Macaca mulatta: one gene and its partner. The protein of the gene in region 2 interacts with the protein of the main gene of each other region in a pairwise test. Links are inferred from orthologs where the notes say so. Each region holds a gene or a part of one and is shown on either strand. Other genes may lie near its edges.

Region 1 (6,018 bases), on a different chromosome or scaffold from region 2:
TTTTACATATATATATAATTTGGGGTGGCTCTGAAAGCAATTCTTAATAGCTCCAAAACTTTTGTTCAAAGCAGACACTGATGGATTATAGGAACAACTTCCCAATACAGAATACTCACTTTGATAAGTTCTAACATTATCTAAAAGTCTTAACTACGTTCTAGTCATAAATTGAGATATAATACTGACTTGAACTAATATATCATGAAAATCACAAATTTATTAACATGTGAAGATTTCTCTTTATGGGTCTAGTGTCTATACTTTTGGGGTCAGAAACCTTTGGATAATCCATCATCAAAAATAAAGATGACAAAACAAACTATTACTTAAGTTTGGTATTAGGAAGTCATTTTTAAGGATTATTGTTGTTACAGTTTTACTGATGGAAATGAAATGGAAAAACTAATAGAAGGGATGATCTACGTACTAGTTAAATGATTTGCATATGCATAGGCTACATGTTCTCAAAATTATGTTTCCTTACTCTCATGGCCATCAAGACATTTTTTTGCCTTCCTGGGTGGTCAACTCAGGGTGTTCATGAGGCAGTAGTTAAGGGTTGCTCATGTATCTTTATATTGGTGAGATATAGTGTCAGTGTGAAAAAACGACCAGAAGGAAAACAGACAAGGCAACTGGTTAAATGTATGTAACCAATCACTTCTACTGGAAAAACACCACTAGTGAAAGAAGAGCAGACACATAAGTTTAATACCCAGAGGGTAGAGTACATTACTAATGCAAATACCAATGAAGGTTATTTTAGGCTCTTAAGAGAGTAAAGATATACCCTTAATAGTCTGCTTTATTTTCAACGTTAAATGCCAAATGAACAACTGCCTACCAGATGGGGTTTTTTGAAATTCAAAAGCATGAGGGAGAGGTCAAAAGAATAGCTACCATTGGAACCACTGGCATGAAAAATACAGTTACATTCATGAAACAGTACTGGTTACTAATTAAGAGGCAATATTCTCTCTACCATGGCCTCCTTGAATAAACTTTCTCTTACAGAATGTTCATGGCCTACGCTTAAAGAAATGGATAAGGCAAATAGGCCGAGATGCAACAAGTCAAAATAAATATCTATGTATTCTAAGGAACTTAGATTTTTCAGAAAAAGCACAATTTGGCCTTTTTGGTCCCAAATTCGAGACTAAATGATGCTTTAGCTATCACTAGCAGGTCCAAAGCACAGTATGAAACTGGAAAAAAGAGAAGATAAGGAAAGGTAACAAAACAGAAAGACTGTGATGGAAAGTAACATGGGACAACTTAGTCTCCTGTAACAAAAAGATTACTCCTGACCTAAAGAATGAGAATATAAAAACAGAGATGATTCCATGACCAAGCATAAGACTATACAGTTATATCAATACCCAGCTTGGAGAATCCACTATTTTTGAGGTTTAGTTAGGAGTCAGGATGCAATTTTCTTTACTGCTTATCTGCTCAGTAAAAACTTCCTGACAATAAATATTAAACAACTTGGATTCAAAAACTTACAAAGCAATATTATCTATGTTAACAAAGATAAAAGATCCTTTATTTAAAAGGGCTTTGAGCTGTAGTTATCAATTGGTTCAAAACTGTGAACAATAAGAAAAACTAAAAAATCTCCATTGAGCTGCTAAAAAAGGAAAATAACATACCCTTTTAATATCAGTGATGGCACTCACTGAGCTGGGATACTTGAAATAATCAGCAAGCATGGCAATGAGGTGATCAGTTATGCTAGCGATTCTCTGTAGCTCAACATCTGGTTCAATCAGATAGGCAAGTGTCTCAGCTCCTTCAACTCTCTCCTCTAGTAATCTCTCCTTACTGCACATTCGAACCAAACAAGGTAATGTCTGAAAGGTAGTGAGATTAATTATTTGCTTTTTGGTAAAGGTAAAAGCTTAAGCATATAGTGACTGAATCAACTCAATAGCTTTTATCAGGAGTAATGTTTGTGATCAAATATTTCCTTTACTGACTTCCAGAGCATAAAAGATTTTTTTTAAATGCAAAAACAAGCAAAATTCAGTACAGATTAATCATTTGTACTGGCACAATAAACTCTACTCACACATCAAAGTATATTAAAACAAATTCTAATTAGGCTTTTGGGACCGGTAAGACAAGTTCTATTGTACAACTTTGTAAAAGACATTTAAGAATCTCTAACAAATCATGTCTAATGGTTCTGCCCCATCCATCTATTTATTTACCTAAAAGAGACCCAGCAGTTTAATCAGGAATGATTTTGCCTTAGGAAAAGTATGCTATCTCTTCATTAGTGAGTAATATGGTTTATTTTTTGGTTTGGGGAGTCATACCTACAGTTGCCAAAACAAAATACAGCTTTAAAACTGCAGTGATCTGCCGGGCGCGGTGGCTCACGCCTGTAATCCCAGCACTTTGGGAGGCCGAGGCGGGCGGATCACAAGGTCAGGAGATCGAGACCATCCTGGCTAACACTGTGAAACCCCGTCTCTACTAAAAATGCAAAAAATTAGCCGGGCGAGGCGGCGGGCGCCTGTAGTCCCAGCTACTCGGGAGGCTGAAGCAGGAGAATGGCGTGAACCCGGGAGGCGGAGCTTGCAGTGAGCCGTGATCGCGCCACTGCACTCCAGCCTGGGCGACTAAGCGAGACTGTCTCAAAAAAAAAAAAAAAAACCTGCAGTGATCTTACCATTACTCAGATTCCACCAGTTCTACTATAATGTGAGTGAAGCGTATCATTCACAGTTGCTAGGTTTTCTCCCAAGAACTTGCTGGAATTAGTAGTGGTATCCACGAGTCCAATTTTACTTCTGAGGTCCCTCAAAAATCTTGGCAATGGTTTTGGTAACTTACCTACATTAGGTTCTCAACAAAAATATTCCAGACATTTACTATTTCTTTTTCTTTTTTTTTTTTTTTTTGAGACGGAGTCTCACTCTGTCACCCAGGCTGGAGTGCAACGGCGCGATCTCGGCTCACTGCAACCTCTGCCTCCTGGATTCAAGCAATTCTCCTTCCTCAGCCTTCTGAGTAGCTGGGATTACAGGTGCTCACCACCACGCCCGGCTAATTTTTGTATTTTTAGTAGAGACAGGGATTCACCAGATTGACCAGGCTGGTCTCAAATGACATTTACTATTTCTAAGCCTGATGGATCCACTTGAAAGGACAATGTGGAAGTAGAAATTGAAATGTTATTATTATAGAAAGTCTTCCTCAAATATTGCAGGCAACTGTGCTTTGCTCTTTTATATATAAGTTTCTATTAAATCTTTTACCACAGAGCTTGGCACTTTATCGTTCACTACTAATTTCCTATTAGGCTAGAAGAAGCTTTACAATTCAACCCTAACATTACTAGTTACTTTTTTCCCTAACATTACTAGTTACTAATATTTATTGATACCATAAATTCATGAATTATTTAATTTAATGCTCATGACTACTACATGAAGAATATACTACTAACATTTTACCAATGCAGAAAAAGAGGAAGGTTAGAGAAGTAAATAAATCAAGATAATTGCTATGGAAGGCCGTGGCACTCTATGCAGAGTTGTTTACTTAGGGAGTGTTCAGATCTCATTAAATTAATTGTCTTCCTCAAAGACTAAAGCAAATATTAGTTTTCTTTGTGCTCTTTTATCCTTGGGATCACCTCTCACATCATAATGTGAGATCTCATATTTATCAAATGACACATGATCAATTTATTTATACTTAATTTTTTATAGCTAATAAGACATTTTAATGTATTTAATATATTGTTATCCTCACAGTAACCCTGTGGCATAGATGAGCAGGAATTAATGCTTCAATTTTCATAATCTGGAGTCCGAGGCATCAAAAGAATAAAGGATGTCCAGTCAGAGGTGGAAGTGCTAAAACCAGAATCCCAGGTTTTAGGACTTTTAGGGCTGGTCTTTTCTCTAGGTTTTTCTAAATTCAAGTTGTATATGACATATCACAATGACAATGCTTGTTTTCATGTGTTATCTACTTATTGTCTTTCATTATGCCTTTTGATTATCAGCTACAAGAATGATATAAAGTCTTTTTCTGCAAAAATAGCAAACTGCCTCTAAAACTGTAATACAAATTTAATGACAATCAAGAACAAAATATATTTTCTATTCCACCTGAATTGTACACTTTTACAATTTCCACATCCTCCTAATTACCATAAAATGAAAAGGCTGTGACAATGAAAGAATTATTTCACGTTGACTTTCAAAACACATCTAAAATCAATTTTTAAAAACTATATGACATCCAATGAAAAGAAAGCATGGTCTTTTAATATTATTCTATGCCATGCACACGTACTATAATGATAAATGTGTAAAATGAAATATGAATATCAATACTGATATTTAACACATAACTGGATAATTTTCACATTTTAAAGATAATTAATTAGCTTACCTTTAATACAATACAGTTATCATCTGTCCGAATTGCTCCAGCTCTACACATGTAAGTTAAACTGGAATAAGACAGCAGAAAGTAAGTTTTTGCTTGGAGTTTAAAGCTTTACATGAAAAATTATTTAACTTTTTAAGATTTTATAAAAAAATCGAAAACCAAATAATATCACTTATCTTGAGAGTGAAGATTTTGACAATTCGCTTTTCGGAGGTTCAGTCAATTTAACTGTCAAAGAAAACTAACTGACAAATACAGATGGGAAGCCAGCTATTAAAAAAACAAAACAAAAACCTACCAAATAGTTTTAAAAATAAATAACCTAATGATGGACACATTTTGAGGCTAGGTGCTGGGCACATGTTGTATTCTTTATACGTCAGAATTTTCCATAATAAAAAGGGAAAAATGTTCAAAATGAAACATAAGATTAACACGTTATCTAAGTTTAAATGAAGTGAAGTTGGAATATTCTAACTCTGAATGCAGCAGAAGTATCACAGAAGAGGCATTTAACTTGTAACACAGCTATCCATCATAAATGAACTATTCAGAGGTTAACAGCAGTGGCTTTGGGAACAAGTCAATAATTTGGTTCTAATGAACAACAATTGTAAGCTGCCTTTGAATAAGAATATAATTAATTTGTATTCCCTAGGCAGGCGCTGAACATTAAGCGCTTCAGAAATTTAAATTAATGAATTTCCTTTTTGATTACATTCCTTTAGCAAGATGGGGGAAAAAATTAAAACATCCCATGTTGGCTTCTACCACAAGTTATAAACAAATAGGTAAAATTATTTTACTTATATTGTAGAGGGCTAAAATATTTGTAGTTGTTATTATCTTGAGGCTTGTTACCACATTGTTTTTCTGAAACCATTTACTTGAGAACATTACCTTACTGACAGAGGCAAATGCTCAGTTTTAAAGACAAAAAGCAAGCAAAAAATACAAACAAAAACCAAACAATTCATGAGTAATTAATTGAAAATGCCAAATTCTCACCAAAATATTAGAACCACAGCTTAAATACTAAGATTAAACTGAGCATAGAACCCTACACAAGTGCTGAACACATCCATTTCATGTACTGATAATTACCGAACATGCACTGAATGCTTACATAAGCCAGACATTGTGCTAATAAAAACTCTGCAGCCGGGCACGGTAGCTCATGCCCGTAATCTCAGCACTCTGGGATAACGAGGTCAGGAGTTTGAGACCAGCCTGACCAACATGGTGAAACCCTGTCCCTACTAAAAATACAAAAATTAGCCAGGTGTGGTGGCACGTGCCTGTAATCCCAGTTACTGAAGAGGCTGAGGCAGGAGAATTGCTTGAACCCGGGAGGTGGAGGTTGCAGTGAGCCGAGATCATGCCACTGCACTCCAGCATGGGTGACAGAGTGAGACTCTGTCTCAAAAAAAAAAAAGAAAAAAAAAAACTTTGCATAAATATCTTACAAACCATCACAATTTTATGAAGATTTGTGTGTGTGTGTGTGTGTTTTCCTCGAAAGATGAGGAAGCCACGTTCTCTGAAATCATCCCGTGGTTATCAACTTCAACTAATTCTCATTCCATATTTCTATATCTTATA
Region 2 (5,759 bases):
CTGTAGTTAACAAACCTCCCCACCATCTTCCCTGAAATATCAAAACTCTCAGCCTCATCTAGGCCACAGGATGTGTGAGACGTCCCTCTTTACTCAAGCCAAAGATTGTAAAGGCATCCTTGACTCCCACACAATCGGTAATAGGGCCTATTGCTTCCATTAGCCAAATGTATCTCAACACAAACCAGTCTTGTCCTGTCTGCAGAGCTCCATAGCCACTTGGACTACTGCGGCTACTCCTGATTTCCTATTCTTTCCTCTCTCCACTTCCTTCTGCATCCAGCTGCCAATACTGTCATCTGAAAATGCAAATCACATGGCTGCCCTGCTTCCATGACTACTTAGAATACAGCTCATCTCCAGTATGGTCTGCAGGGTTTCAGTTCATACCACTCTCTGTGGTGTACTTTGCTTGCTATGAACACTTAAGAGGTGCTCTGTTTCTTCCTTTGGGTAAAGCTTTCTAGGCTGGTCCTAATCTGGGAGCCTCTAAAACCCTGAGATATGGGGGGAGACAGGAACTGGGCAGGGGCCACCCTTTTCTCTTTGACCATCCCTGACTGCTTTTTTTCTTGCTTTCTTTACTCATTTATCCTCCACCTCAGCCTGCAGTGAGTGGCTTTTGTCATCAGGCCTTAATAACGCAAAGTGCATCTGAGCAGAAGAGCTATTTGTTTACTTAGCTCAAAACATCTGGACTTTTCTCCATAGCCAGGCTCCTACTTGCTGAGCCGGCTTGTTCTCACCTTGAGGGGCACAGGCCTCCACCCTGCCATGTGGGGTGAGGGGATCCTTGGCCAGAGTGGTTTCCCTGCTGTCACAGAAGGGAAGTCAGCGGGAGGCTCAGAAGGCCTTGGCTGTACAACCAGTGCCGTGCGGCACAGCCAGGGTCCCATGAACGACTTCCATCAGATAACCTGCCTCCATCCCCAAGCAGAGTGTAGGCAAGGGCTGTGACTGCCTCAGGTAATTGGGTGATTTTGCTCCAGCAAGAGGACAGGAAGCATGTGAGTGCCACCCTGAACCTTTAAGAAACACCCATGGGGTGGGAGGTGCTTGGTCCAGGCCAGGGTGCTCGGTGCTAAGCGTGCTCTCCCTTCAGTGCCCGGACTCAGCTTGCAAGCAGGACCTGCTGGCCTACCTGCAACGCATCGCCCTCTACTGCCACCAGCTCAACATCTGCAGCAAGGTCAAGGCCGAGGTGCAGAATCTCGGCGGGGAGCTCGTTGTCTCTGGGGTAAGCATTAGCTGAGAAAAAAGAGGGCCAGTGGGAACGTGCTGACCCTTGTCAGAAATGAAAGTCACTTCCTATCCACATACACACCTGCCCTGGGAAAGTGTGCTGAGCAGAAACCCCAAGTCCTGTCCCAGCCTCCGGAGACCAAGGTCTGTCCATCATCTGTTCCCTGTAGAACTGTGACACGTGTGGGCCACTGCAAGGGCTGAAAGGCTGGCCTCCTCCCCTTTGCTGGCCACTCACTGGGAACAAATTTTTAAAAATCTTCCTTGGGACCGGGCGTGGTGGCAGGTGCTTGTAAGTCCCAGCTACTTGGGAGGCTGAGACACAAGAATTGCTTAAGCCTGGGAGACAGAGGTTGCAGTGAGCCGAGATGGCACCACTGCACTCCAGTCTGGGTGACAGGGCAAGACTCTGTCTCAAAATAAAACAAAACTTCCTTTTCTTCCCCCAGAGAGGAATTAAGAGTAGACATAGATAGGATGCTTTCTCGAAAGCCCTTCACCCCTCAGAGCGCTTGGGTAGCATCTCTTTCTTTTTATCAGGTCACAGTTCTGAGGCCTTTCTCACCTAGGGCAGGGGAAAGAGGTTTGCTGAGTGGACTGGGGTCCAGCGAGCCTCCGTGGCTTCTTTTAATCCCATTAAATTTCCTTTAAAAGAAACACTTCTTATATTGAACATATTGAGACCATTTGCTCATCTGCTTTGCCATAAACGTCCCTGTCTCGATTCCTGCTTCTCCTCCCCCACGTACTTATAGCTCTGGGATCACTCACAGTGGCTTCCGCTTTGAGTGAATAAACACTTGCTGGGGGGTGGGGGTGAGCAAAGCGAGGCTGCCTCATGTCTTCTTCAAAGGGTCTGAGGGCAGGCGCTTCCAGGCTATTTAGGTAAGAGCAACTGTTGAGGGTGTTCCTCAGCAACAGGCTGCTGCCCAATCCTCTGCCACCTGCCCAGGCCCTGGTCTTGCAGAGGAGTAGGGGGCCCCCCTTCAGGCACAGCCCACCTGTGTCCACGATGCTGGAGGTCAGGCCTGTGCTTCTCACCACCCTTGTCTGCCTTGTAGGTGGACAGCGCCATGTCCCTGATCCAGGCAGCCAAGAACTTGATGAATGCTGTGGTGCAGACAGTGAAAGCATCCTACGTCGCCTCTACCAAATACCAAAAGTCGCAGGGTATGGCTTCCCTCAACCTTCCTGCTGTGTCATGGAAGATGAAGGCACCAGAGAAAAAGCCCTTGGTGAAGAGAGAGAAACAGGATGAGACGCAGACCAAGATTAAACGGGCATCTCAGAAGAAGCATGTGAACCCGGTGCAGGCCCTCAGCGAGTTCAAAGCCATGGACAGTATCTAAGTCTGCCCAGGCCAGCTGCCCCCACCCCTCAGGGCTCCTGAAGATCAGTCACTGTTTGTCACTCAAATGAATTTGCTAAATACTACACTGATGTCAGATTCCACAGGGAAATGGGCAGACTGTGAACCAGTCCAGGTGGTGAATTTTCCAAGAACATAGTTTAAGTTGATTAAAAATGCTTTTAGAATGCAGGAGCCTACTTCTAGCTGTATTTTTTTATATGCTTAAATAAAAGTAAAAATTCCATAACCAAAGAGAATCCCACATTAGCTTGTTAGTAATGCTTTGAGCAAGCCGAGATGCCCATTCTCTTAGTGAGGGCGGCATTAGGGTTTAAGAGAAGGGAATTTGGCTCAACCTCAGTTGAGAGGGTGCAGTCCAGACAGCTTGACTGCTTTTAAATGACCAAAGATGACCTGTGGTAAGCAACCTGGGCATCTCAGGAAGCAGTCCCTGGAGAAGGAATGTTCTCAGAAAGGTCTTTAGAGGAACAAACTCAGTAAAACGTAATGTTTCATGAAGAAAACTGATTACTCTCTTTATGACATGAAATGAGAATTTAAATGCATGGTTACAATTACTAATGTACGCTGCTGCAGGTCATTAATAAAGTTGCTTTTTTTAGGCTACAGTGTCGTAATCAGAACACACTTTTCTCTTTCTTCCAGCTTCAAATGCAAATTCATCACTGGGCTCACTTCTAATAATTGCAGTGTTTCCCACCTTGGGCTTGCAGCAGAAAAACCTGACAAAATAGTGTGTGCTAAGGCAGTAATTTAGACTTTACCTTATTTGTGATTACTATAGTGATTACTGTAACTACAAGGCATAACTTACCATCTTATATAAATTTTACAAATTTTGAATGTTTTTTACACTAACTTTTCCCAATAAAGTCCACTATGAAACCACAACATCCAAGAGGCCAAAGTCGTCATCTCTTCCTTCAAGTGCTCACAGCATCTGTGGTGCTCTGGGCCCTCCCGGTGTCCCTCTCTTCCAGGATGGGGATGCCCGGAAGGGAGGCTGTGGCTCTAGGCTGCACGGCTCATGCCAGCCCATCAGGGAGGGCCATGCCCCTTGTCCTATTGAGTGCCCCACCCTGCACCCCCACCTTGGGAGTTGACATGTCCATTCCTTGAGGTTCATGTCAACCTCGGAGGCATCCCGTCTTCATTATGAATGTCCCCTCTCCTGTGTCCTTCCTGTCAGCACACACACACCTATGATGATAGCGGCCTTCGAGATGAAAACCCCTGAACCCCATGATCCTTTCTCACTTCCAACCGGCTGTCGCCTTGCTCCCTCCACCTCCCCTCGTCAGGGCGACTGCCTTCCACTGCCAGTGACACTGGCAATGGTCTTCAGACCTCATCATGCAAGCTGCCTGGGGGCGTGGCGGGGAGGAGGAGGAGGACAAGGACTCCTGAATGCTGCTAACTCGGCTTCCAGGACACCCCACTCAGGTTCTGCCTGCCTTACTGGGGGCTCCTTTCCTGGGGCTGAGAGGTTGTGTCTGTGCCCACCCTCCTGAGCTCAGGCAGAATCTCACATGTAAAGACATACAAATGCCGACTTCTCCCCAGAGCCTGCCTTTTATAACTGACTGCCGCCTCATGCTCCATTCGGATGTCTAATGAATCTCAGACTTGACCTGTCCAAACTGCTTGCCACCTACTCCCCACCGCCCATCCCCATACCCTCCATACCGGTTTCCCCACGTCACTGCCCTTTCCCTCTTCCCTCTTGCCAAATGCCTAAAAATCAAAATTCTTAGGTGGGTCTATAGTGCAATGGGCTTCTAGTGACAAGAAATCAAAATTCTGACCTTTAAAACGTATGGATAATTTACCTGTCATCGCCTGGCCTAAGCCATCCTGCTGTTACTGCTGTGTAGCAAGTTGCAGCTAAAGCGACCTCGCATGGCTCCTGAAGGTCAAGAATCTGGGAGCAGCTCAGCTGGATGGTTCTGACTTGGGGTCTCATGAAGTGGCCAAGATGCCAGCTAAGGCTGCCGTCTCTGAGGGCTTGACGTGGCGAGGATTTGCTTCCAGGCTCACTTGCGTGGCTATTGACAGAAGGCCTCAGTTCCACGCCGCACGGCGCGTTCCACAGGCAGCTCACAGCTTGGTGGTAGCTGGCTTCCCCAGAGCAGTGATCTGCGAGTGGCGGCCAGATGGAAGCCACGGTGTTCCCTTAAAACCTAATATGGAGAGTGATTCCCCATCACGTCTGTATTCTGCAGGACACACAGACCAAGGCTGGTCCACTGTGGAAGGAAAGGACGAGGTTGCCAGTGCCCGGCGGTGGGGGCCACAGCCAGCCTCCCTGCCAGTGTCTGCCACAGCCAAGTAGCCCCTTAAGACAGGTTAGCTCAGGTCATTCCGACCTCAGACCTTCCAGCGGCTTCCATGTCCCTCGGTAAAAGCCAGAGTCTTAAAGGCCTCTTGCTGGCTCTGGCCTCTTCTCTCACCATTCTCTGCCATCCTGCATCTGTCCCTGGTGTCCCTGAAGTTCTTGAACATGCCGAGCACATCCTGCCTCAGCCTTCACGCCTATGGTTCCTGGCCTGGAATGCACTTGCCCCTAGGACACCCTGTGCTGGTTTTAGCATTTCCTTCCTGTCTCATCAAGTCACCTTACCAAAAAGGACTCCGACAGGCCAAGTGTGGTGGCTCATGCCTGTAGACCCAGCACTTGGGAAGGCTGAGGTGGGAGGATCGCTTGAGCCCAGGAGTTCGGGACCTGCCTGGGCAACATGGCAAAACCTTGTCTCTCTTAAAAAGCAAAACAAAAAAAGACCATCCGTTTATGTATCTCTTAAAGTCTTGCCTTGTGCCACAATGAGAAAGCAGCCCTCACTGGACTGACCTTTGGGAAACAGCCAGTGTTGGCTCTGCTCATCCTCCTCAGAGGCACAGGGCCTGGCATGTGCTTGATAGACAGTAGTTGACCAATGAGGACCATTATTGATTTAAACCAACCCGTCAAAGTGTTGGAAAACGCTGGCAAATGAGAAGGTGCTAGGGGCCTGGAGAGCCAAGTCTGAGGTGCAGAGACCCTGTCCCGAAGTCCTGACCCCTCCTCTCACCTCACAGACCACGACAGAACTGGGCCAAGCAGGAGGGGACCTGCCTCTGCGTGCGTGCGGGGCCTCTGGGGCCTCCT

The links.
Region 1: the proteins of CTNNA1 (region 2) and ARMC8 interact in a two-hybrid assay, tested with the Homo sapiens proteins (2 studies listed by BioGRID and IntAct). The link is inferred for Macaca mulatta from reciprocal best matches to the Homo sapiens genes CTNNA1 and ARMC8.

The regions. Positions count from the first base shown.
Region 1 is NC_133407.1:41,236,250-41,242,267, reverse strand, and holds part of ARMC8 (armadillo repeat-containing protein 8), read right to left. Parts: intron 4,478-6,018; coding exon 4,417-4,477; intron 1,857-4,416; coding exon 1,656-1,856; intron 1-1,655. UniProt on the Homo sapiens protein: Component of the CTLH E3 ubiquitin-protein ligase complex that selectively accepts ubiquitin from UBE2H and mediates ubiquitination and subsequent proteasomal degradation of the transcription factor HBP1.
Region 2 is NC_133411.1:147,797,933-147,803,691, forward strand, and holds the end of CTNNA1 (catenin alpha-1), read left to right. Parts: intron 1-1,102; coding exon 1,103-1,237; intron 1,238-2,243; exon of another isoform or gene 2,244-2,303; coding exon 2,304-2,591; 3' UTR 2,592-3,513; downstream 3,514-5,759. UniProt on the Homo sapiens protein: Associates with the cytoplasmic domain of a variety of cadherins. The association of catenins to cadherins produces a complex which is linked to the actin filament network, and which seems to be of primary importance for cadherins cell-adhesion properties.